2 linked regions of the Lepisosteus oculatus genome follow. The protein of the gene in region 1 interacts with the protein of each later gene in a pairwise test. Links are inferred from orthologs where the notes say so. Each region holds a gene or a part of one and is shown in the gene's direction. Other genes may lie near its edges.

Region 1 (8,184 bases):
GACACTGTTTTTCTGTTGTAAAGTAACAGTCGTTCTGTTCATTAAATAAGAACTGAATATTGTGAGTTGTATGAATATAAGTCAGATATTAATGTTTTGCAATACTTGCATTTAAGCATGGAATATGTATGAATTGTTACATGAATAATGGCTAAAGAATAAACGTAATATTTAGTTTTGTTGATTTATGATTATTAAATGACAAGAAAACAGTTTTCTTTACAGCATATACAGTATACAGAAATACTATAACTCATAATCATTGGATGATACAACTCTCAATACAAATTATTTTTTTGACATTCACTTGAACAACTGTGAGGTATTGTGGACATACAATATATGTTTCAGAATGAAATTATAAAATAAAAAGTGTAATCAAATTTGAGGAAAGTAGCCTCTTAGACATACCATATGCTTAAAATTGTATGGTGATAATCCGTACCTGTAATCTACATCCACACTGGAACAAGATGATGTGATACTGCATTTATTTTTCATGTTCAACTTTACCATTCAAATTATGCGTATTTAAGTACCACATTTTAACATAATCGACTATAAAAGTCGAAAACTATTTTACAGAAAAACAAACCTGAACCAGCTTCCCCTTAACTTTACAGAAAAAAAACAAACAAACCAATGTCGGCTGTTTCAATTACTATTTTAATTTTCCCATCGATATCCGAAATTCTTCTTAGCGTGTCAAAGTCAAATACTTCTAAAACAGACCGAGCTGTACCAAAGTGTGCTGTTTGTGCGCTGTGCGTCATCGTTTGCAAACATACAATAAAAAGGGACGTCACGCACGCCAGGTTACAAAGAATATACATTAGGTTAAAAATAGTCGACAACTGAGGTGAACCACATTATAACGATTATACTATCTTGTTACGTCGTTTTTAAAAATCGCTGGAGGTATCGAATTCAATGCTTATAAGATTGTAAGACGTTTCCGAAGTGCTGTAAAATAGCGCTGTTTAGCTCTTTGAATTTGCAGATGTACCGAATTACAAACTTGGTAGATGCACATTAAAATATTGAATGAGCGGGGACTTTCAATGGGAGAATTCTTCAGGAATCAATACCTCGCCTTCAACGAGTCAACGAGCAGGACTGATCACACACGAAAAACCAAGCTTTCCAGCGTTTGCGTCTAAAACCGTCTCTCAGCACATGCCCACTTTTATCAAGTGTCGTGACGTCATAAATCCGCGAAAATACAGCATGTTGCTATCTCAAACGAAACCATAAAGTAGGCTGTACCAAGCCTGCAGTAGGCTGTACCGAGCAGTACACGTGGGAAGGAAATGGAACATTTTCTCATCTAATTTATTAAATCATGTGCTGTACGTATCAAACGCAATACATGAAAAGAGGTACATTTTCCAATAGTTGTTGATTTAAATTCCAAATAAGCATAGATGTCAGGTTAAACGTTTCAAACCCGAGTCTTTTGAAGCATAGACTGTGGAAATGAAAAAAAAAATACTATAAGACGGCGAGTAATGCTTTTTATATGATTTTATTTCACCGACAGCTGTTCTTCTACGTTGTTAAAACTATACTTTGTGTCATTTAACCCCAATTGTCCATATTTGAAATAGATGCGCTGAACTTCTTTCCCCTGTTTCTGGAGGGGGGATAGCATATGGCGTACTTTTATCTTCGAGCCTAGACTGTTAAACATCTGCTGTCTCAAAAATGTCATTAAATATGAAAAAAAAGCATTCATGTGAAGCCCCTGGCACGTGAATGAATAGTAAAATAACAATAAAATCGCATCATATTTGTTACCTGAGTCACTGAATTGTGCTGGGAAACCATTTTTATCGGTTTGCCTAATTTACAGATAAGATCATCCAATGCCTTAATGAATAGATCCACAGGAAACGTAAATAATCGCATCGTGATCAACTCATACGATACAAATCCTTGCCGTGTAAACAGTGGGGTTTTATGTATCACACAGGCACAGACATCATATAGCCTTTATACATACATGGAGTAAAACACAGGACTGCTGCGTTAAGGGTTCAAGTTGAAAAGGTGTCGGATTAGTTTTGGTTCATTCCCACTTAGCTAAACAGAGAATCACAACATTTAGGGGGCTTTCTTGTATGAAACCCCTTCTTTTTTCATGTTCACATTACGATTTAACTTAAGTTGCTATAAAGCGCGTCGTAACTCTTCAAATGTAAGGCACAGTGGGCACAGTACAGTACTGTTGTAACACAGCAATAGGATGGAGCAGAGCTAGAATTATGCTAAAAAAAGAGCCTATAGCCACTGAACTACTGCATTGAAAATGAACGGGAAGCTTGTATTCTGCCACTAAATTGCCACTGAGTGCTCCTAAGTCGCTTACTCAAACATCAAACATTTCTAGTATCATCTTATTTTATTCCATTTATTCCGTGTTCCATTGAGAACAATGACGATGAACTGCTAACTGTTCAGGAAACACCTTGGTCAATTGACGTGCAAAAAAAAAAACACGTTGATTTGCATCCAACCCTTTAAAAGCGACTCTTTAAGATGACTGTAAAAGTGTCACTATATATAAAGTCGGTAAAACACAGTCGTTTTAAGTCAAAAGTGTGTTTTCTAAGGAAGTCTCTGTAGCGCGTGATTTAAGATCTGATGAATCCGTTCATGCTCTTTGCGAGACGGTATACTGTAGACTGTACATTGTTCATTAACACAATTGAAACATGAAACAAGTTAAAAGGCGAAGCTTGAGACTCGGTGTGGTGGATCCCACAGATTAAGAAATCGACTCAATTAACCGGCTTAATTTTGGCATTTCTTTCACTTTCCTTTCCGAACGGAATATTTAAAGACAAGGTACTATTTCGTTTAGAATACCCTCGCGATAAATGGCACAATAATCGGAGTATGCCTGAGTTTTATGTGTCCCTGCGCTCTGTTGTCGGAGTGCATTGATGTGCGCATTAGATTATTGCTTAATCTTATGGGTAATTAATATTAAGGTTATTGTAGGTTCTCCTCCTAGTAGCCTGAGAAGGAATGCATAAAGCCAGTAGTTATTCTGCCCGGTAACAATCAGCGTGCTGCGGACGCGCGCAGAAGAGCTATTGGCTATGCAAATAGAGACTGGGGGTGGAAACAATCTAGAAACCAAAAAATTCTTGTTTAAAGAGACATTTCCCACTTCATGAAAAGCGTTGAAGCATTTGCTCTGGTCGCTAATGTTTTAAAACTGCAAAAAAAAAAAAATGAGAGAGCCGTCGTTGCAAACTCTAGACATATGTTGCCGAGCTGGTGGACCAAACTGATCTTCATCCAAGCTTTGGTTGTTGCACGCTTTCTAGAGGTATACATGTGCTCAATAATGTACACTCGCGGTGTACTTTAAATGAATATGTCTTTTCAAGATGAAGTGGTTTGCCTCGATGATATTATTAACATAATGTAGTGTGAAGCTACCAGAACCGTGCATTATTTCTACCTTTCTTATCCAACCCAACTCGCAGGCTTTGGAACAATAGAAACGGAACTATTCTGCCACTATTTCTCCAATCCCCAGTACAAAACCCTCTTCTTATACATGGGTTTCTTCGTGTATTTTATTGCTGGAGCCGTACCAGAGCTCGAAGTGTTCAGATGAATGGTCTCGTATATGGTATGATCCAATGTAAAACTCAACAGCTCAAGGCTGAATCTTGACAGGAAATGGATATCAGAAATATAGGGGTTTCTATGGATTTTATATTAATTAACTGGTGTACATGAAAGAATGAAATGGCATATATATATATAATCAAGCTAGATTGTTCAGTTCTGCCATTCGCTGCTCTACCATCTATGGTGTTCTTCTTACAGTGAAATTTCATTTAGGAAACCCTAATTGTAACTAAATGAAAGCCAAAGAAAATATCCGACTTGGAAGTATGCTTTGAAACATCCTCATTTTTTTTCATTCATTGCACAAATAAAACCTGAAAATCTGCTGCCTAGCAACTGGTGGAAGGCTTAATAGTACTATCTATAACAAGCCTATACAACGTTTCTAGCTCGCCATTTCCTAGAAAGCTATCTCACCGACCACAAGAGTTGTTGCTATATAAAAGATAGTTCTGGTTAGCTCTTTTTCATGGGGGTGGGGAGGAAAAGAAAAACGACACAGTCGTGCAGTCAGGAAGATGAAAAAAAAAAGAATTTTATATATCCGAAGAGCGAGCTTTCTGAGTTTCCCTGTAGTTTCTGATGCACGTTTCCAGGCGTCTAGAAAAGTCACCAAAATAGCTACAGCCTATATATAAGCAACAAATAAAACTGCAAACCTTACGTTTTCGACCTTTTCAACAACTGAGGAGTTGTTTCCCTGTTTCCATCACTCGGTAGTTGGTCTGCAGAAAATCCTTCACCTCTAAATTCTCTCTCGGTTTTTTAAATGCAGGTGGTGTGAAAAAAAACCAACACAAAAAATATCGTTTTACACACACACAACCATAATTCACCGTCAAATTTCATATGAACGCAATATTCCCGTTTTTTATGGCTTTTTACACTTTTTATGTGCGTCCGGGGGTCTTAAGATGTGTGTTTGCGGGGGGGTGGTTGATGGGGGGGGGGTGTTTTAGATCAGTCATTTGGTTATAAGAATTAAAAATTATATCCATAAAAAGGTGTCATTTTGTACCCTGTCTGGGGGCCTCTGGCTCCTTATTAGCTTACTGAACAAGAAAAAAAAAACCTTTGATGTGTGTAGTCTGGCCAACTGTTCTACATAATAAGAGATCGGCCCTGTTAGCTTGCGTCACTCTGCCTTCAGTAGGCTTCAAAACGAGAGCACAAGTTAAGCGAAGAGCAAGAGGGATAGGAGAGGGGGAAAAAAGTTTCAAGGGAGGCAGGACTCGGCTGGATAGTCCTGCAGTCCCAATTATATGTCTCTAAAATACTTTATTTCCAGTCGTTTTTGTATTTTCTATCATTATAAATATTTAATAGATAATAAATATATATATTCTTAAAGCTTAAACCATGGAACTCCTTTGCTACGAGGCGGACACCGTACGAAGAGCTCATCCAGACCCGAATCTTCTGTACGATGACCGGGTTTTGCAAAACCTGTTATCCATTGAAGAGAGATTTTTACCCCAGTGTTCTTATTTCAAATGCTTTCAAAAGGATATTCAACCTTTTATGCGGAAGATGGTTGCAACTTGGATGCTTGAGGTTTGTACTGTATGCAGGCAGAATTGCATTGTAACCCACACCTCCTTCTAAAACTTTTAAAGCCTCGTTTCGTGCTTAATATCACTGAACTTTCAAGCTCAAAATGAAGAAGAGTCTGTTTTTTGTTTTCCGACGAGACTTTCCCGGAATTACACGTGTCTGTGTTTTTTAAATACATTTTATGCTGTTCTGTGCGGAGAGCCGAGGCGTGTTCTGAAGTTCTTATGTTCAGAGAGGAAAGCTGATCAGAAGGGGTTTATAAAACTGAACAGAAGGCTGTCTGTTTCGAATAAAAGTGATCATCGGGGCCCTGAAAGAGGTGCTTCGGTGATTAATTTTATTTTTTCCTCGAATAAATATTTCCATGCACACGTATGCAGTTCAATACGTACCCCCATCCTATAATATAACGCCATGTTGGTTTTGAACTATTGAGGCAGTTCGTGTTTTTTTCCGACGGGTTTATCACTAACTAAAACGCGATAACAACTATTAAATTAGATATGTCTCAATAGGAGAAACGTTGAACTTCACTGTCCTCTTAAAACTGACCCCGGAAAAACCGGACATATTTTGTATATTTTTTGTAAAGCATTTGTCCGCAACAGGGGTGCGGGCCCTTAACTCCTCTTTTACTTTCTATCCTCTCTCCAAAATCCGCCAGCCTAGATTTATGTTCGATATTTGACCATCGCTTGGACATTTCTTATCTTTTGTGGTCAGAAAATGAAGTTAACCCGTTGTACTTTATTTTCGTATAAAAAGTGTTCATGTTTTCACTCTGTGCGATTTTATATAATTTTTTGAAATAATTATTGCGGTTCGGCTCCCAGACGTTCAACGGCGAACACATGACACTATGCTCTGATTTCAAAGTTTTTATCGTGTTTAATCTCGGTTTCCAAGCGTATCAATTGTCGGGAATGATGTGGGAAGCCTTTGCGAACATTTGGAAGTGAAAATCCGGGGTCTAGATATTTTTTTAATATTTTTAAATATTTTCTGAAAATATGACGAAATGTAAAAAAGAGCTCCCGAAGTCTGCTGCATGGGTGTTTTTTGGCTGGGGTGATTGTGACTTGAATTCATTTCTTACTGAATGAACCGAAGGAATGCGAGTCTATTGACAGTCTGTGCCAGAGACCTTGTTCCAACCTTCAAAAATAACATATCTGGACGTTATCGATAATATTGGCCCCTATATGGTCCGGATCCGCCCGTTGTAAAAAAACAACGATTTCTAACGAAATATAAAACACGGAAATTATATTGTCTATCGAGATTTTGAAGGAAAACAAGTTCAGTTTATCCTTTAAGTACCTTTGTATTTGATTTAACAGGTATTTGAAATATTGGAATCTATAAAACTTGTTATACCGAAGTTTGCGTGCCCTGTGTTTTTGTTCATCCGGCTATTCGTTCTCTCTTTTTCTTTAGGTTTGTGAAGAGCAGAAGTGCGAGGAAGAAGTTTTCCCTCTGGCTATGAACTACTTGGACAGATTTCTAGCAGTGGTACCTACCAAAAAGTGTAATCTGCAATTATTGGGAGCGGTGTGCATGTTTCTTGCGTCAAAATTGAAAGAGACGCGTCCATTAACTGCAGAGAAACTCTGTATCTATACTGACAACTCCATCAAACCACAGGAGTTGCTGGTAAGCAACAGTTTGATTCTGCAGAAAGTTCTTAAGCTCAGTTTGAGTAAATTCTTTATCAAATATAGACGTCTGATGAATTTGAAGAGTTTTAAAAATGAAGGTTTTTGAAGTATAGAGTTTTAAAATGGAATAGCTCACTATATCCTGTCTGTATCATTTTATTTTTTTTGCACTTTTTCTGATTGCGTATACCTGTGTGTGCGTTGCATGTCTCTCTTGTGTATTTCTGTATATGACAGTGTGTGTGATCGGGGGGTTAATTGTAACGGTTATTACATATAGATTTATAAATGCCATTTTGATCCCAGTCACACAATTAGGCATTTATAACTAGAGTTATACGCACAAATAAGTCATGCAAATAAGAGCAGCATTTTCCTTTTCGAAGTCCGATGTATTGGGACCATCAATCACGTGGAAGAAAACATGGTGCGGTGAAGCTAAAAAAAACAAGGCTTGGAGTGTTTTTGTTGAGGCGGTCTTTATTGCCATCTAGCGTTAGATATTCGGAAGTCTTTAGTGGTGACTTCAGTATTGAGTGGAAGCCAGTGTCTGGATTCCAACCTCCCGGAGGTGGATTACGGAAAAGAAGGACGCCTTGAATCTTGTTCGCGTCACAATATTCAGGATTAATTCTTTAGGACTAAAAATGGGTCGATAAAAATAGCCCGCCACGTTAAAGTGGTGCACGGCTTACTGATTTGGATTGACAATCGAAAGAGAAGTCTAAGGGACTTTTTGTTTGTTTAGGGTTTGAGCTCGCTGTCGTCAAAACCCCCGTTTGCCGACGAAATCTACTAAACGTTTGTGGCAGCAGCTGAACCGTAATTAAGGTCTGGGATGTTTGTTGGGTTTTTGTTCTACAATTAGTTTAGCTAGTTTCTTCATATCTTTAAATTCCGCCCTACGGATTTCTTAATGTCACGCTGAATGTTTGCCTGCTTACTTCTGTGGCCAGAGTATGAAAGGGCAGGGCCAGTGGTCAGTGGGTGACCTCTAATTTCTGAAAATAAGCCAGAACTTTTCACCTGATGAGCTTATTAAGTGGATATGCTCCGTTTATCGGAAATCAAGAGATAGAGGGCTGTCTGGGGGTAGTTCCATCTGATTGCATCAAGCGATTTTTTGAATAGGGAATACATCTCATATGGCTACAACAGTTAACCTCTTGAAATGGAATGTGGGTGTTGTAATGTTCTTCACTGGGAGCTATAACTTCAGTTCCTGTGATACAATACTCTGTAAATGGCTCACCGGTATATGGTGATATCAATCTCGATCAATACAGTTTTACTTGTTAATGCAGTTTTTTTATTGTTTTCTGTG
Region 2 (7,392 bases), on another chromosome or scaffold:
TCTAACTTTAAAAACAGTACTATTCAGTCTCATTACTTTAAAGTTACATCCAGTACTGTATGTCATATCACACACCCTAAAGATATCCACTGTCATAGCTACTTGCTCAAAGATCCATGATCCATGATCCATGCCACCTAAATCTATTCAGATGCTGTTCTAATTTGGCTCTTATATTCCATTACTTTCCATGTACAGTAACTGAGACAACACTGATTTGTCTAATTGACAATCGAAGTACATTTCCATTTAAATTCACAGGGTATCTAGCTTCAGTGTCCTAAATTGTGGATACTTTGCAACACCTGAATATTTTTAACCATTCCAAATTCCTAGTGACTTTTCATGTTTGCTTATAAAGAGCATAAATGATTAAGTGATTATCAGTGCATTGCTGTTACATGTTAGTTTAAGAGCCTGGATTTGTCACTGACTAATTTGGTAGTACTCAGAGCAAGTGACTTAACCTCTCTATGCTGTCCTTTAGATGACATAAAATCAAGGTCCTGTTGTAAATGACTGCAGTAAATAATGATGCAATGTTCACCCAGTTGTTTCTGAAAGATGGACGAAAAATGCTATTAAGATGATGATGCAGTATATACTTGTGCTTTGTAATTCAAAATATCCTAAAATATTCAAATCCAATTTTATTTTCAAGTATATAACATCCCCACAATATTAATATTGAAACATTATGTCAGGGACATATTAATATTGTTTTGTCTTTCATCTTTAATAAATATGTGTCTTTAATTATATAAAATCCAGTATTAGAAGACTAGTTAGTGTTATTAGTTAGACTAGTTATTAGTTAGTTATTAGTTATTAGTTAGACTAAAGGTATTTTTAAATGTAAACAGTCCTGCTCATTTCCAGTTCTCTATTATTAGCTTAAATACCAATTTAGACAGCGATTAACTCATGATGGACATTTAACAACTTAAAAAAATACACAGTGACTTCGTGTGTATTTAAAATGACTTTTCAAGTAATTGTGTATTACGTCATATACTGTATATTTACATTAAAACATGGACATTTATTATACAATTCTACTAGTTACTTTTATTGGTAAAACAAATGAGTTTCTGTCCTTCATATGCATTCAAAAGCATTTTCAAGAAGAAAATAATTTCTTGATATGATTCTTTGGTATCAAGTTCTTTACTTTGTTACAATTATGTCCTGCTTTATGAGACAGAAAAACCTTTCATTATGGAAAAATGATTGTGTTTATTTTAAATCGTCATAGAGATAAATATTTAGATAGGCAAGGGTGAGGCATTGAAAGAACGGCAAATCAGAAAATGCTATTACTATTTATTACTGTGTTATTTAAAAAAACATCCTCTTTTCTCTGCACATTTATCCAGTATATAAAACACCCTAATCTATAATTATATAAACAGATATAACTGTTCCTATCCTTAGATACAAAAATAAAACTTGAAGTAGATAACTTATATCAAGGCGTTTCATTTAACTGCAAGACTCATAGTTCACTAAAATATTTTTTCATGTATTACTATGTCACAACATATAGATATCTGTGCTTTTCTAAGAATATTTTGTAGTAAAACAAAGCATTTGTCTGTTATTGCCTAGTGATAAATAGAAAACATTATTCACAAATTATTATGAAAGCCATGGTTACCATGTTACTAGCTCAAGTTTCAATACTGCAAAGCAAAAAAAAACTTTAATTGCCTGCTGAAAAAAAGAAAATAATTATTTCAAAATAATTTAAGAAATGTTTAATTTCGCATCCATGTTCAGAAATGACATAATTCAGAAACTATTTAGAATTATTGAATGAGGTATTCAGGGAATTAATGACATTAACAAGAGTGTTTGAAATTATTGCTATGTTAATATACACTTTTACTAAAAAACTATTCTTTACATATACATTAAAATATATTATTGATATTAAATATGCTATTTTCACTGGGTTTTTTTCAATCTAGTTCGATCTCATCTGCAGAATATATTTTTAATTGCTTCTGACAGAAGGTTTTCAGGCTCATCATTATGCTGTTCACAAGTAGAGAATTATTTTCTAACGAGAGGATTAGCCAATCCCAGTGGATCTGCAGCCCATGCAAAAAGGAGAGGACTCTGTCCTCCTCTATCTTTCGGACACCAGGAAAATCTGAAAAACCTTCACTTTCGCAAAAGATTTGATTAAGTCAGACTACTAAACAGAAGGCAGTCTGTGGAAAGGGTGTCAGAAAGACAACACATGGAAATGAAATGGGTGATATTGAAAACTTTGACATGATCATCATTAATCCTGGGGAAACTGGGAAATGTTATTAAAATAAAAAGTGACAAAACAAAAGACACTTTTACACACTTGCTCAATTCTACTTGCACATATTGTTATGTATGTAGGTGTTGGAAACCTTTATCTGATTTTCATTTAATTTGAAGAACATGTAGTGAATAATATATTGAAAGTCATCAAGCTCTTTTTTAACTGTTTTTTTTTTTTTTAGTTTTTGTGTCTTTGCAGTTTGTAAGCTGAAAAAGTAAAAATAAAGCGATTTTTTTCTTGGCATCCAAAAACTCTCACCCAAATCACAAAAACAATGATCATATTGATATTTTTATTTTAATTATCAAACAAGATGTGTTTTAGTGAGACATTGTGCTGTATTACAGAACAGCAAGTGTATAAAAAAGTGTGTTTTTTTCCCAGTGAAACCATTTAAAATCATAACGGTTGCTTTTGGAACAATAATGCAGTCATTTTCTTGTGGGGTAACAGAAGCATTAACATGAAGTTATAAATTATTATATATTATTATTATTATAAAGTCAAAAACTTTAATTCTTACTTATTGAAAACATACTTATGGCAAGTCTTTACAAAATAGCTTTTCAAATACCTGGAAATTTTAGATTTGTTTTAGCTCCATTCCTGTAACTACTTTCAGTTTCTATGTACTGTATATAATTCTTACTTTTACTGGATATTACAGTATGGCAGTTTCAGGGTTACTGTCTGTGTTATGTCGTGGTGTACACAAACAAACTTGAAATGTCAAGGAATTCCCTCACCAGCTTCATGGTAAATTTTCCGAACAATGGAAAGTTACTAACATTTTGTTTTTCATTTTCAATTTCCATTCACTTTTTAAAAAACAGAAATGCTTGATTTGATTTTGTCAAACATGTTTCAAGATAATTACCTGACCATTAATCATCAACTGTTGTTATAAATATAATTACTCTGGGATCAATGTAAGCAGTTTTCAATGTTTCTTTGCAAAGTTCCAGATATCAGATCATCATACATCAGTGGCACCCTTGTATTAAACATCTGGCACCATTTTTTTACTTCAGCAACATTTAAATGTTTTATTATTTTAGACTTTTTTCAGCCAAGTAAATTACGAAACAAAACCACAACCAAAACAGACTTGTTCCCAGAGAATGATAGAACAATTTGGTATGTCTTTGTAATTGAATTGTATCAACATAACACTGAAATAATTTACAAAGTTGTTTAGGTTATTTATATTCATACTGCATAATATACTAATTGTAATATTAACCATCTAGACAAGGAAAATTGTAAGAAAAAATCACAACTTCAAATTCTGTTAATGTATTTATTGCATGAGATATAAGTTCAGGAAAACTACTCAGCTACACTTTAAAAAGTTTTAAATAGATGTGTGTACAGAAATTCCTTGCATACATATTTGTCTTTCATTTTTTTTTTGTTTGAGCTCCGTAAGCAGCATGTAAATAAAAACAACAAGTACAAATTACAAACACAAATCCTTACCAGTTTTCTGATCATTTCATCCTATTCAAATATTGCAGTAAGTACATGAAAGTATAAAGCTTATATATAACATGGTTCCTATTTATATAAAGCCATACTGTCTACAAAACAGCTGCAAACTATTTAAACTGTAAGGAAATGCAGCTAAAGTGCAATCCATTTCTTTTCCAGGCGATTTTCTACATCTTAGGTTTTTACCCATAAAACTGTGAAATGGTAACTTTTAAAGTATTTGCCTTTAATAGTGTACTGACCTTTGGGAAACTGAATTTCAACAGCTGTAGCAATTTTCCACGAATTACACTTTTAGCACAACGCGTTAATACCCCCTAAGTCATATATTACAAAAATATTACTTACCAATTACAGAATAAAGGGGGAAATGCTGTATATAGGCAAACAAATGCGCTATTAAAGTTACATGGCGTGAGTGGAACGTCTTTAAACTTCATCTTCAAGAGAGACAGCAGATGTGAACTTTTCATATACAGTTACAAACATACCAACACAAATCCTAAACTATAAACCCAGCTCTCCTCTACAGACATTTGCAGATGTGTCTTTTTCTTGAGGGGGGGGTGGAGGGCGATGACCTGAAAACCGAACCGAAACTGCAGCGACAGAACTGTCTTTCCTTCTCCGAGGAGTCGCCTTTAAGGGTATGCGCTGATGATATTCGTGTCCCTATTTTGGCCTCTTAAAGTTGCTGTTGTTGCTGCTTTCCCTTTTAATAACGCACCAAGACCGTCTCCCTGTCCTAATTGAGCGCATCATCCACCTGATTTCATTTCGGTTTCCCGTTATGAACATAACATTTTTTTTCGTTGGTTGTGCCGAAGTTCTTATTTTGCGTGTAACTTATTTTTATATTGGGAGAATTTATGCTCTTAGACCGGATATTTAGGCATCGCGTAGTATTCTGGGTACCGATACTGAAATGTGCGACATACCTATTGCATATATTTTTGGTCTTTAATTCTCCAGAAACAGACATTATCCCACGTTAGAACCGGCGTAGCGATTGTGAGTATCCGTGTAATAAAGCCAGAAATGGGTGTGAAAAGTGACAATACTGCAAAAGGTTCTTCATCCCGGCTTGAGGGGTTAAAAAACGGAACGTTGTCTTACATTTGTTAATTGGTATGTATACAACTTTTCCTCTGATCAGGGGGTGCATTTTTATAGTCTGCCAAAGAAATAATGTTATATAAAGTCCATGTGCTTTGTTATCAGAAACAAAGTAGTAGAAAGTGAAAGGCGCCCCGTTGGCGAGTTGTCTTTTTTTAAAACACTGTTAAGAATTTCTGATCTTTTTTTTCGTATTTTTATGGAGCCCCAGGCTTGCGTCTATATATAGACTGTGTTTAGTCCCATCAAATTACAGGTATCCAGGTAACCGACTAATTTCAGCAGAACATTTGGTTATAGTTTAAAAGAAAGTCGTTTCTGTGTTTAAATGCCAGGTTGCATTACAAGGGCATTGCTATCAAATATGCTGAAATATTTGCCGCAATTTAAAAAAGCTGATCTGAATTAAATATCTCTTGACACTAACCCAGTGTAGTGCATGGGGGGCATTGAACCTGAGATCTGGGATGACAGCGAGCCTGTGTCAGTCTCGTTTCCAATACAGCATTGTGCACAGAGGAGCTTTGAAAAGCTTGGTACATCGGCCAGTGCGTCCAATAAACTTTGTGGCCGCCCAGCTTTTTTTCCCCTGTGGTGATCCCTGCTTTTGACACTGAGACAAAAAGAGAGAGAGAAAGAAAGAACTTAAGAATGCAAAAGAAGCAAGGAGGCATAGAGAAAGCAGAAGGAGGCGGTTTTCCTTTGTAGTCACTGAGGAATGCGGAAATGTTCCTGCTCTATGTCAAACTTCTCTGAAGGGGGTCAAGACACATTCAGCCTGCGTGGGAAAGGGAAAAAGAGCCGGAGCTCACAGACAACATTGCATATTCTGGAATAGGACAAGAAAAGAAAGAAATTTCGCTAGGAAAAAAAAAAAGAACTTTGCAGTTTAAAGGGTTCATCCATACACTTTGATCTCAAAAAAGGTTTTGCACTTCCACTGTTTTTCTGTGTGAAAGACGAATACCCCCCCTTTTTTTTTAGATCTGCCTGAATTGCTGCTGCTGGAGAATGGGGGTCCCAGCGTTCACTGTTTCTCTACCTGTGTGGCCCTGACTAGGACAGTAAGGGATCTGTGAAGTATTTGCAAACTTCCATTCACAAAGGACGAGCTGGTTCATCGCAGTTTATAAAGGACGTGCAGAACGTTGCGTCCTTGCGGAATTTTCTGTCCTAAATGATATCGATCAGGTAACTTGATGTCATTGGATGACAGCGTAAAATGTTTGTGCAATTAATTGTGTATATATATATATTACATTACATTCATTAAACGCGCACACAAATGTACACGTACCTTGGCTGGTACTTTTGCCTTTAATGTTCTGTTTTGAGAATTGTGGGGTTATTCGATAAACTGTATAAAGATGCTGTAAATACGGAGGTGTGGTTTAATAAACTGCATTTTTAAAGTGGTCGATCAGAGCCACGTTTTAAGAATACCACGTCCTGCATTTGTAAAGAATGTAGGAAAAGGGACTTGATTGCATACGGGCTGATCAGATGATAACTTGGGCTTACTGCTGGCTTTTTAAATTTATCGAACAATACCATGCACACGGAGCCACGTGCTGAACCGAATTATTTTTAAGCAGCTCACATTTGGAAAGCCTAAAGGCGAAAGAGGTGGCTGTAAACCTTCAAATTTGCGCTATTGAAATATTCAGTCTGATTTATTTTCGTCTTTTTTTTTAAATTCAAATTCTAGTTCTCGGGAACAAAATAGAAACATGTACGAAGCGCACCTCTGGTACGCTTCTCCGTCACTTGCATTGACAGTATGAAGCTCTATTGTAATATGTGTAGCTGCTGTGCAAAAGCTTTTGAATTGGGGAAGATGTGAGGAAGACTCGAGCTGATATGCAGAACAGCCTAGTGGGAGTGTCAGGTAAATTCAAAGAAGATCTTATTTTAGAAGGGGCTAAAAGAAAGCCACATATCCTTTACTCTGCACGTTTTGTGGATGTAACGTTTTTTTTTCTGATCGACTAATGCGCTTTTTTTTTCTTCTGCTTTTCTCAAACAGACTTCGATGATGCTAGATCTGCTCTTCTGATGATGTCTTCTTCGTAACATTTCAAGGTGCCTGACGGGGTTTGTCAGATTAGTTGGTTTGTTGTTGTTGTTTTTTTTACAAAGTTGCAGCACGCTGTAAAATGGAGAAAGACAGTCTGACTCAACAGTATGAGCCTGTTGCTGAGATTGGGGAAGGGGCGTACGGAAAGGTATACAAAGCACGGGATCTGAAGAACGGGGGCCGTTTCGTTGCCCTTAAAAGAGTCAGGGTGCAAACCGAAGAAGAAGGAATGCCACTTTCTACCATCCGCGAGGTGGCGGTCCTGAGACAGCTGGAGTCCTTCGAGCACCCCAACGTTGTTAGGTAAGGGGGAGGATATCTGAGTTGGGAGATTAGAGGGGGTATCCCCAAAGCTGCCTGCATCAGCTGGATTTATGAGAATAATGAT

The links.
Region 2: the proteins of ccnd2a (region 1) and cdk6 interact in a two-hybrid assay, tested with the Homo sapiens proteins (2 studies listed by BioGRID, with this or other methods). The link is inferred for Lepisosteus oculatus from reciprocal best matches to the Homo sapiens genes CCND2 and CDK6.

The regions. Positions count from the first base shown.
Region 1 is NC_090702.1:6,802,639-6,810,822, forward strand, and holds the start of ccnd2a (G1/S-specific cyclin-D2a), read left to right. Parts: upstream 1-4,803; 5' UTR 4,804-5,007; coding exon 5,008-5,202; intron 5,203-6,639; coding exon 6,640-6,855; intron 6,856-8,184. UniProt on the Homo sapiens protein: Regulatory component of the cyclin D2-CDK4 (DC) complex that phosphorylates and inhibits members of the retinoblastoma (RB) protein family including RB1 and regulates the cell-cycle during G(1)/S transition.
Region 2 is NC_090705.1:4,900,262-4,907,653, forward strand, and holds the start of cdk6 (cyclin-dependent kinase 6), read left to right. Parts: upstream 1-4,392; 5' UTR 4,393-4,458; intron 4,459-4,554; exon of another isoform or gene 4,555-4,822; intron 4,823-4,831; exon of another isoform or gene 4,832-4,939; intron 4,940-5,342; exon of another isoform or gene 5,343-5,911; 5' UTR 5,912-6,118; intron 6,119-6,468; exon of another isoform or gene 6,469-6,815; intron 6,816-6,953; 5' UTR 6,954-7,083; coding exon 7,084-7,307; intron 7,308-7,392. UniProt on the Homo sapiens protein: Serine/threonine-protein kinase involved in the control of the cell cycle and differentiation; promotes G1/S transition. Phosphorylates pRB/RB1 and NPM1.